2 linked regions of the Drosophila melanogaster genome follow. The protein of the gene in region 2 interacts with the protein of the main gene of each other region in a pairwise test. Each region holds a gene or a part of one and is shown on either strand. Other genes may lie near its edges.

Region 1 (3,111 bases), on a different chromosome or scaffold from region 2:
AATCATGCCTACCACCCGCGGATAGATCACGCCATTGGGATTGGCGAATGAGCGGCCCACGCCTGCCTTCTCCACGGGCACCCATTCCGCGCTGCGGATGAAATGCATGTCGTTCTTCGGGTAGCACCATCCCTCATCCGGCAGATGGAAGTCGAAACCAAATCCTAGAAGGGCATGTTGACACATTAGATTAATAGATAAGTCATGGTTGAGCTTTTAACTTACGGCTGGAATAGGACATGTTTTTTATTTCCGCAAAAATTGTTGATCCTTTCCGAGTGTTGCTGCTTAACTGGGTAACTGGAAACTGAATTTAACTATTAATAGCTGGCCTGACAGGAGAAGCTTCGACAAAACGACCCCGTTTCCCATGACAACGGAGGCCAGGATTGGACGGATTGCCTAGATGGCAGCAACAAGTTAGGTCACGACACCGATTTGCATTTCCTGATGCCGTATTTTAATGGCAATTAATTCGACTCGTCGTAACAACACAATTACCGTGGCATTTAAAAGAGTTATGGGGTACGTTTTATTTTATTACGTTTACTGGTTTATGATTTAGTCATTTACAGGGCGATTGTATTGATTAACAAGATGGAAGGTCTCAGGGCCGGAAAGTGCACTACGTCAATGATATCCTCGCCTCCATCTCCTTCAGTTTGACTTCTTGGCCTTCTTCTGTTGCTTGCTCTTCAGTTTCTCCTGCTTCTTGAGCTCCTTTTCCGTCAGGGATTTGTACAGCTTGTAGCCAAAGAGAGCTGTAATGCGGAAAGAAGGGAGACGGTTAGTAAGGTGACGTTGATACATTATGCGATCAAGGGAACTGAGACCGAATATGGAGACCAAGAGAAAGATCACTGCCGACACTATGGAACTGGAGTAGGTCTGTGCGAAATGGGCGTGCTGCACTATTCGCTCCTCGATTCTGCCAATCGTCTGCTGGAACTTGTCCTTCATCTCGGCGAGAAACACATGCCGATCCGTTTCGGCCAGGGACTCCAGCTTGCTCTGCATCTCGCCGATCCGCTGGACGAGATCCTTGGAGAACTTGCTGCTGGGCCCAGTTTTGGCCACGATCGACTCCACGGACTTTTTCAGCTGCTCAATAACCCCGAGCTCGTCACTGGAACCCGACCAACTCATGTTTTGGGTTGTTCGGAAAAGGGGCTAAGTGGTGTGTCAACTACAGCCCGGCATGGGTCTCTGGCAAATACTGCTCTTTGGATTCCACTCTACCTATGTCTGCGGTGGATCCTACGCTTACCACTGGTTATCTTATCAAAAATCGAACGCTTTTAAACGAAGCAAACATTCTAGCTGTGGCTCGTGAGCGAGTGAGTGAGTGCTTCGACATAGCCGCCTCCTAAAACCTTATCGCCCTTTAAGCAGAAACCCAGGTGGGTGCGTATATCGCGCCCGATAAGGGTTATACGACTCGTTAGTGGCTCGTTCCGGAGGACGCTTACCAAAGACAATGAGTATGAGGGCCAGCATCACGAAGAACACCAGGTACTCCCGGGAACTGTGGCCCGGATGCCCGTACTGGCGCATGAAGTCCTCCGGCGACGGCGGCTTCGGGTTAAAGATGCTCTCGCGGAGCTCGGCTCGCTCGTCGTCCGAAATTCCCTCCATGCCCTCGACCAGCTTCCAGATCTCCTCGGCACTGGGCATCTTAAAGTCGGGATGTCCGGGCTCGGGACCGGCAAAACCGCCGGCTCCTCCAGCCGCAGCGGCAGCTGCCACGTCCTCAGCGAATGCCTGCTGGTTCACCGGATCCTCAGCCATGATCTAATCTCTGTTTGGGGCTTTAATTTACGGGCTGGGTTCTGTGGGCTCTTTGGCTTTTAGCGGTTCGCGTCTGAATGGATGGTATATAGGAAATCATGGTATTCGGTTTATGGTTCTACTTTCTGCATTTCAGCATGCTATTGGGGGGGCAAACAAAATCACAGAAACAAACAACGTGGCAAAACAAACGAATCGAATTCGAAAATGGATTTTGATTATCTATAACACAAGTTTGACACGCGGCATGCAGAGATAATAACGATTGTACAAATCACATAAACTACGATATTTAATCCCCCCCAAATCGCACACTTTCCAATATTAACTAATTTTGGCGCTAGATCGCCGGTGCTTACGTGCTCCGGCTTCTGCTGTTTGGGAGGACTGAATGAGTCTCTCTAAAACTTATATTAAAATCAATATAATTATAAGCCGCCACTCGTGTGTAATCAGTCGCTTGTATTTCATTATTCCCAGATATGCCCACTAGTTAACTTTTCGCTGCGCTTTTCGTTTTGCCTCCTGCCTTCGTCAGCATATTTTCAAAGGTGATCGCAAGAAGTTGGCATTGCGGAGAGCATATGTGTGCATATGCGATAAGGGAGAGCCACTAATCAGTGCCGGACACACGAGTACATAAAGACAAAACCCCAGTAAAGAGTGCCGTCCCATTCGCGAGCGATAGATGGCTACAATGTTACAAGATGGCCACCATATAAACGTCTACAGTTTGAATTGTTCAAGACGAACATCGCGAACTGATTTTATAGATCTTTTATTAATTTCTGCAATATCAAGCACTAGAATTGGAATTCAATGTTTCAGCTAATATAAATGTTATATCAAGATAACACTTCTAATCTTTCTACCTATAAAACATATACAACGCTCATTTAGAAATGGCTTTTTTAATTAAGTTACTTTTGGAACCAATATGTTTTGCTTGAAGATCTCTGCAAAAATACGCTAGCAATGTTCAAAATAGAGATGCTGGAAATTCGAAGATTTCAAAAAGGTACGTTTTGCGGCGGAGGTTTGACTGTACGACAGAGTCTATTGAACGGTGGCAGGTCGACTCCTTATCAGAGGGCCATTATCGCTCTTGAGAACCACAAACTTTTGACTACGTACGCAAGAAAACCGGAATGAGACGGACTGGCCAGATGGAACACGTAAGACAAAAGATCGCAAAGGCAATCCGAATCGAGGGTATCTCAAATCAAAACAGATAAGAACGAAAAACCAAACATCCAACAGCTGTGCATATCAAACGGCCAGCAAGCACTTGACTAAGTTGCTCGCTTGGTGAAAGTCTTTCGA
Region 2 (7,249 bases):
GGCAGATCTTTTTCACTATTACCCATTGTCCATGGCCTTTAGGTAACTCCTATCGCCAAACTCTATGGACACTGTACCGGTGATGTCGGCCGCTGTCTTTGCTGCCCACCAACCGCCGTGCTTCACGGCATCCTCATCCACTACTACCTTGGCCTTTTTGGAAGATCCAGCCTCATCCTTTTCCTTCTTGCGTTTTTTGCTCTTTCTACAAATCGAGAATTTCAATTGATGCTATTGGCAGATTTGTAGTTACATACTTGAGTTTCTCGCCTTTTAGAACCAATTTCTTAATGCGTGCATGATCGTAGTCTGACATCGTCACAAAATAGGTAAATTGTTGATATAGTTTTGGTTTACAACACAATAAACAAACATGCGATACAACATCGCAGATGAGCTGGTCTATCGGCTATCGATATCTTACCAATAAAATACTGTAAGCGTACATTTTAAAAAGTACGGACTCAAACCATTCATTAACTTGGTAAAAAAATTAAAATCAAATGATTTTTGATCTGTGAGAGATAAGACATATTTCATCTTTCATCACATACATATATTTATTCTCGTAATTCATTATATATTTGCTTACAAAAAGGAAATACAATCACGGCTGCTGGATTTGTTAAACTAAACAAAAGACTTAAACTAAACATTTGACTTAGATACATACTTTTATAAATTATTATTATAAATTATAAATAAATATGTGTAAATAATACGTTTCAAATAGCTTAAATAGGAAACATCTTATTTTCATATACTTTGGAAAAAGCGTTGGCATGGTCACATATAAGCTTGTAAATATGAATAAATACAACAAACAGGATCGTCCGTAAGTAAATAGGAATGCACAAATAAAGTATTCAACTCCATCACATATATCCTTCGACAGAGACATTTTGCCATTGGCCCTGAAATGGAGAGGGTATTTTTTTTTAATTATAAATTCAACCAACCCAATGTTTAGATTGCATACCGCAATGCCAAGGTTCCATCCTACGCCTGCAGGATTTTCCTCTGTAATTCCGCAGCGCCTGCAAATGATACCATTGAGGGAGATGGCCCACACCTCGGAGCCCACGGACACCGAGCGGAAGCCACAATGCTGATCCGTGTGCGGTGGCACATTGGCGGCATTGGGCAGAAACTGCCAGTGGGAGCCCTCAGGGAAAGTCCTCGAAATCTCCTTACGCACAGCCAAACGTTGCTGGTTGTCCAGCGCCCAAATCCCAGCCCGACCCACGCTTATCGCTTTAAAGGTCACACCCGCGGGTGCCTCCACTTGTTGCCAGGCATCGCCGCACGGATTCTGCCTGCTGATGCCATACCGGAAGAACACCATGCCGTTGCGCGCCACAGTCCACACCTGACCTGTGGGCCCCACGCTGATCCCAACTAACGGCTGGTCGCTGGTTATGTGCTCCCAGGCATCGCCACGAGGGTTTAAGCTGCATACACCATGCCGGATGAGGACATCACCATTGGAGGCAATCGCCCAGGCAGCCACTGCTGTGTTTCTCTCACCCGAACAGCTGTGATCCACATCTTCATCCAATACCTAGTAGGAAAATGTTTAAAAAACAACCATGTTGAGAATTTTTTAAGTAGAACCATACCTGCAGGGCAGCATCAAGGATTTTGGACTGACTAAGCTCCTGCCATGGTCCGCTGCTGCTAAGACGACATCGCTTCATCCATCTTCGTCGACGCACGCAATCTGTGAGTTTTTTGTGAGCATGGTAGTTGGCGGGGAAGTCGATGGCGTATTGCCAGCCCTCCTTGTCCGCGCCCCCAGGAATGTTGTAGTCAATGGCCCAATCGGAGATCCATTCGCAGTGCGTAGACAGCAGCTTGGTGTGCTCCTTGCTCCGCTTCTGCCGCCCAGTAGCATCGCTCCACATGTGCCGATCCGTCGGCAGGCTCTTCGCCGTGAAACCACTGATTGGATTCCAACGTTGATTTTCGTACACATAGTAGGTGTGTGTGTCAATCATTGGGTTAATTTTGCCGGACCCCTCCAAGCCCTTTAGGAACATTCCTCCCCAGCCTCCGTTGTAAACCCAGCCAGTGTTGTCACAGGATATGCCCCACACCACATCCACGCCGCTGTTGAAAATCCTCTTAATGTGACCGCCCATTTGGCGCCAGTGCATGCGCTCCATTGAGACAATTAGGGAGGGGCAGCGGTAGAGTACATTGAAAAGCTTAATACGGCCACTCACATAAAGCCGCGTCACGCTTTCCGGATCGATGCGGTACTTGTAGTCGGTATATACGGCATTGTTCACGATGATCAAGTAGTGATCTTGCAGAGCCCTGTAAGGATATTCAAGTATGTATTAGGCATTCGATTTCATTCCCAGGATTCTATTCCTACCTTATTTTCAACGAAAAAGTTGCTCCGGGAGCAAAGGCCATTTTGTCATTGCGAATCTCGTCCAGCCATTCGGACTCCTTCATCGAGTTGAGCACCGTGGTGCGTTCGTTGAAACGGGGATTCAGGTGCAGAGCAATGACCCGATGCTTCTCCACGCGATGAGGCTGAACTTTTACTGCAGAATGCGACTGCAAGTCGAAACGAATCTGATCAGCGTCATCGTACACACAGCCAGATATCTCTAGCTCAGTACCACATGGCATTCTGAAATTAACATATACAGGAGGTAATTATTAAAAAATTAAGCTTTTAGAATTAAATGGAATACGAAGCTTCTGGTAAATTGCCTGCTTGGATAAATTGAACAATTTGAATTCAACAAAACTCCAGCGCTAGATTTATCCATCACTCAAAAATATTTTTCTATCATAGCAGTTTAAACAATATAATACCTACATACTTCACAAAACAATCCTACCACATAAATTTTAATAGAATCTTCGACCGACAGGTAAGTTTTTAAGCCCACTTACCCATTGTAAAGAGTATTGTAGTATGGAGTTTCGCAAGTGGAAACATCCATCTTCTCCACGTATCCCTCGCTGGGTTCACTTGTCTGATGTGCCTTCATGTTGGCGGGATCAAACACAAAGACATCGCCCAACTCGCTGGTTATCCAGATCGCATTGCCAGCCGGTTTTCCCACCATAGTGTTGATCTGGCTACAGACTGACGACAGGTGGGACAACCAGTCCTCCATTTCCGAGTCACTGGAGAACTGTAGCTTAACGGGCGAACAGTTTACGGGAAGATGAGGAGCATGAATAGCGATCCGCGGTGCTCCGGCTTCACTGCAGCACTGAACACAGGTGATGTCTGACAACGGGAACTGAATCTTCGTGGCGGCTCCATCCGGACTAAGTACCGTAAAAGTTCCAGAGTCCCCGGATCGCGAGTTTTCACTACTATTTGTGTCAGTGCCACTGCCACTGCTTACCCACTCAAGTTCGATGATACAATCCTCAAACTCGCCTCCAGGTCGCTGATAGCGCGCATCCGCCGATTTGACCCACGAAGAAAGCTCCACTGCCTTCTCGAACTTGGCCACAGTCTGAAGCTTGGCCAGTTTCTCCTGACGTCGCTGCAACTTGTTCACAATATCCTTTCGCCAATTGGCATTCACGTCCACTTTACTGTCGCTCGTCTGCTCGTTAAACCAATTGGGCATGTTGCTGGCATCCACAGTCACAGCACCTGAAGCTACGCAGCTCCATAGTATCCCGCATTCTGTCCAAAATTGTGATCCCGTATGGTCGTCATCTTCTCCCAGAAACACATCCGATCCATGGTGCGTGGAGTCCGACTCAAACACGGTCGAATCGCTCTCTGGATGCGCTTCAGTGCCCACGACGGACCCAACACTTCGGACGGGAGACCAAGCTCTTGGATTCCTCAGCTGGGTCTCAAACTTGCCAGTTACCACCTCCACCACATCCGCTGCGGGAGCACTGGAAGCATGTGAAGTTTCGCGAAGCGCCGCCGTTCTCTGCTTGTGGCGATCGTTGAGATTCAGACTTCCAATTGTCGGAGGTGAATCGGCACTGAGTTTCCAACGTTCGTTCTTAAGAAGACCAGGTGGACCGCCATTACTAGAGCAGGAGCCCGTAGAGCTGTTGAGCACAGTTTCTATAACTGCACACGTCTCTACCACACCCTTCTCCTTCTCCTTGGAGTACAAATTGGAGAAGCTCTGGTGCTTTGAGCCTGGCGTTGAACTACTTCCGCCGCTTTTACGAGAGACTATGGATAGAGAGCTAGAAGTGCGGCTGATTTGCATGGGACATTGAATTAAACGCCATTTTTTGCCAGTAGGGTCGGCAGAGGTCACCCCAGAGCGGTGGTACAAACAACGGTCAGCGGCTCCAATGGCAAAGACCTGCGAAAGAGTATGTTCATATCTAAGATAATTGGGTAGATCTAACACTGGTTTACCTGATCGTTGGCCGCCACAGAGACCATTGAAATGTTTCCCACCATTTCCACCCAGCCCTTGCCAATGGCCGAATCCTCGCTTATGCCCGCTGCTTCACCCTTGACGCCTCTCCTGAACCAGGCGTGATGATCATTGGTTACACACCACACAGCATCGGTGCCCACGGAAACGTGAACAATGCGCAAGCTACTGGCGGCCACGGGGGTTTTGACATCCAACCACGAGTCACCGACTAGGTTGTCTCTGGTTACACCAGTACGTACGATAACTCGGCCGTTATGGAGTACCGCCCATACCAATCCTGTGGGTCCCACGCTGATCTGCGCGAGTTCACTGCCCGTGGGCGTGGGTACAGCTGTCCAGCGAAGACCCTCGGGCGCCGTTTTGGACACCCCCGTGCGAAACATAGCCCTGCCATGGGCGGTAATGGCCCAGACACACAAAGTGCCGGCAGGAGCGTTGGGAACACAAGTGCCGCCTATAGCCACGTCTATGAAGGGCTCCTGCGTGGGATCCTTGTGTAGTGGTGCCACCGCGCACCAGCTATTCAAGGCTGCATACCTCCTATATCTCACCCACTTGCGTCGTCGCACATACGAGTTCCAAGACTTCTTTGCCGAGTACGTGGCCGGAAAGTCCAGGGCGTACATCCAGCCATCCTCGGTCAGCGGCTGTCCATCGAGCTCTAAGTCCAGGTGCCAGTCGCCGTCCCATTGCCACGCCATCGAGGGCAGTCGGATTTTGTCCACACCACGCTCCACACTGCCATCGGCGGAGGAATATCTGTACCGATCAGTGGGCAGCAGCGTCTTCGAAAATCCTTCGATGGGCAGCCAGCGCTCGTTCTCGTACGACTCCTCCCGAATCCGAATGGGCACGTCCAGACCGTGCACATGAACGTACACCTGGCGGTCGCCGCCAATGGCCCACAAAAAGTTGGGCACAGCGCAGATCTTCTTGAACTCCAATCCCAGATAGGGAAGTTCGCGCCACGCTCCGGAGTTGGTGGACAGCGTGTAGACGCGCCCTTCACTGCTGGCGGCGAATAGGTAGAAGCTCGGCATCCTGAGATCTATTACTAAAGACCAAGGGGCCTCTTTCTGTCTGGCATCGTGTTTACAATCAAATTGGAAAAATTGATTTTTCTGAAGAATAGACCTAGACAGTCAGTGATGGCACACCTGTTTTCCGAGTCCTAAGCGATAGTATCGTTGTGGTTGTTGTGTTTCCACTAAAAACAGCCAAAATGCAAATGTTTAATATTTTATTTTTATATCTTAAAATTGTTGTTTATTTCGAAGCCCGTTTAAAATAAAGCATGTCAGAAAATTATGTGTTAACAAGAATGTGTAATAAGTAATTCCAAGGAAATGCGACAGCCCTGTTAATTCTATAGTGCCGTTAAATTTCGCAAACCAGGGTCTATCAAATCCAAGACACCGATAGTCCTTGCCCCCATCAGTGTTAAATGTATCGATACTATCGCGAGTGGCCAACCCAGCTCTAATTGACGCCAAGAAATTTTGATTGATTTTGAAAAATATGGTAAAAATTGAACCGTTCTTTCCCCTAACTGCACGGGCGGATCCCTTTAACCGAGCGCACCCAGTTTAAGATCCATTTACCGGTCGCAGTTAAAAAGGAAAGCCGTAAACTGAGCCCCTCGGCGTTGCGACGTTCGACGCAGAAAAGCGAGCACGCGCAGGCCAGACGGTCGGTCGGTCGTATCAGCTGCTGGCTGTGGCTCCCGGAGGCCGACCACGGACCAATCCCCCGTAATGGCCGTGCTCCCCGGTCCGTAGTCCCGGTATTGCGAACCGAGTCGAGACCGAGGCCCTTCCAGCAGCCGGTATTTCGTGCTCTGGTGTAGTAAAACATATGTACGCACGCCTACAGAGTACAAACGTTCATCTGGTAGACACACATATATCGACCATATATATACTATAGCCACTATATGTATACCGCGATGTCCTGTGCATCCCGTGAAACCTCTTCGCTGCATCCGCGTATCGGGGGTGGTCGGTCTGCCCGAAAAACTCCCCTAAAAATATCATACCACCAAGTGATTGAGGCTCCATTTTAACCGGATTCTTTCATACCCCACAGATAACTACTTCGGAGCTAAAGTAAACTGGTCATATTGGGAAACATTGCGGTAAGTGCAATTCAAACATTTTCGCTAATAGCGAATGAACTAAGTGTGCTATTCACAGCAAAACTCAAATCCGACGGACGGAACGGACTGACTCTGGAAAACACATCACAATAAGTCATGCCACGGGGAAAACGCCGAGCTGCAGATACTATTAGCGACAACATGGATCATGGTCAACCGAAGAGGGCCCGAACCAGCTACACCAGCATACCCACACAACAGAGCAGCAGGTGAGTGGTGGAAAATAGGAAACAAGAACAAAGGCCCTTTGGTGTTGTATCATCTGTTCCGGGGAAAAGCATCTGGTTTCCGGTGTAGAGATTCCTAAGCCATTGATGCCTGATATATTTCAATGGAACGGCCAGATTTACCCACACCTGGCACTGAAGAATTTGTTATTTTATTAATTAATACGTTATCATTTTCATATTCACATCTTCGCGACGATTTGGTTTCATGGTTTATATACTTTTCATAAAAAAAAAACAAATACTGGCATTTCTGTAAAATGAAAATTGATTCACTTGCTCTATTCATAGATTCACAATAATCATCCTATTATTCACCCGTCTTGTGTTGTATCCAATAATGTTCTTATCCAAGTTATAATTATTATTATGTTATCTCAACATTAATCAAAATCTGTGGCAAAATCGAAAGGCATTCAAAGGCAAAAATTATTAGTCTCTGCCGATATTAAAAAAAAAAAGTTTTTTTT

The links. Proteins that work in one complex are often made in the same cells at the same time.
Region 1: the proteins of Pex23 (region 2) and CG42336 interact in a two-hybrid assay, tested with the Drosophila melanogaster proteins (one large-scale study listed by BioGRID).

What each region holds. Positions count from the first base shown.
Region 1 is NT_033778.4:11,294,025-11,297,135, forward strand, and holds CG42336 (uncharacterized protein), read right to left. Parts: upstream 1,219-3,111; 5' UTR 1,147-1,218; coding exon 658-1,146; 3' UTR 512-657; downstream 1-511. Other genes in the region: CG18336 (uncharacterized protein), read right to left, coding at 1-164, 226-241.
Region 2 is NT_037436.4:20,296,585-20,303,833, forward strand, and holds Pex23 (peroxin 23), read right to left. Parts: upstream 5,558-7,249; 5' UTR 5,438-5,557; coding exon 4,373-5,437; exon of another isoform or gene 4,317-4,372; coding exon 2,914-4,316; intron 2,892-2,913; exon of another isoform or gene 2,826-2,891; intron 2,645-2,825; coding exon 2,381-2,644; intron 2,320-2,380; coding exon 1,620-2,319; intron 1,562-1,619; coding exon 980-1,561; intron 915-979; coding exon 876-914; 3' UTR 545-875; downstream 1-544. Other genes in the region: FRG1 (FSHD region gene 1), read right to left, coding at 23-205, 258-316; SCCRO4 (squamous cell carcinoma-related oncogene 4), read left to right, coding at 6,649-6,761. UniProt on the Drosophila melanogaster protein: Involved in peroxisome biogenesis.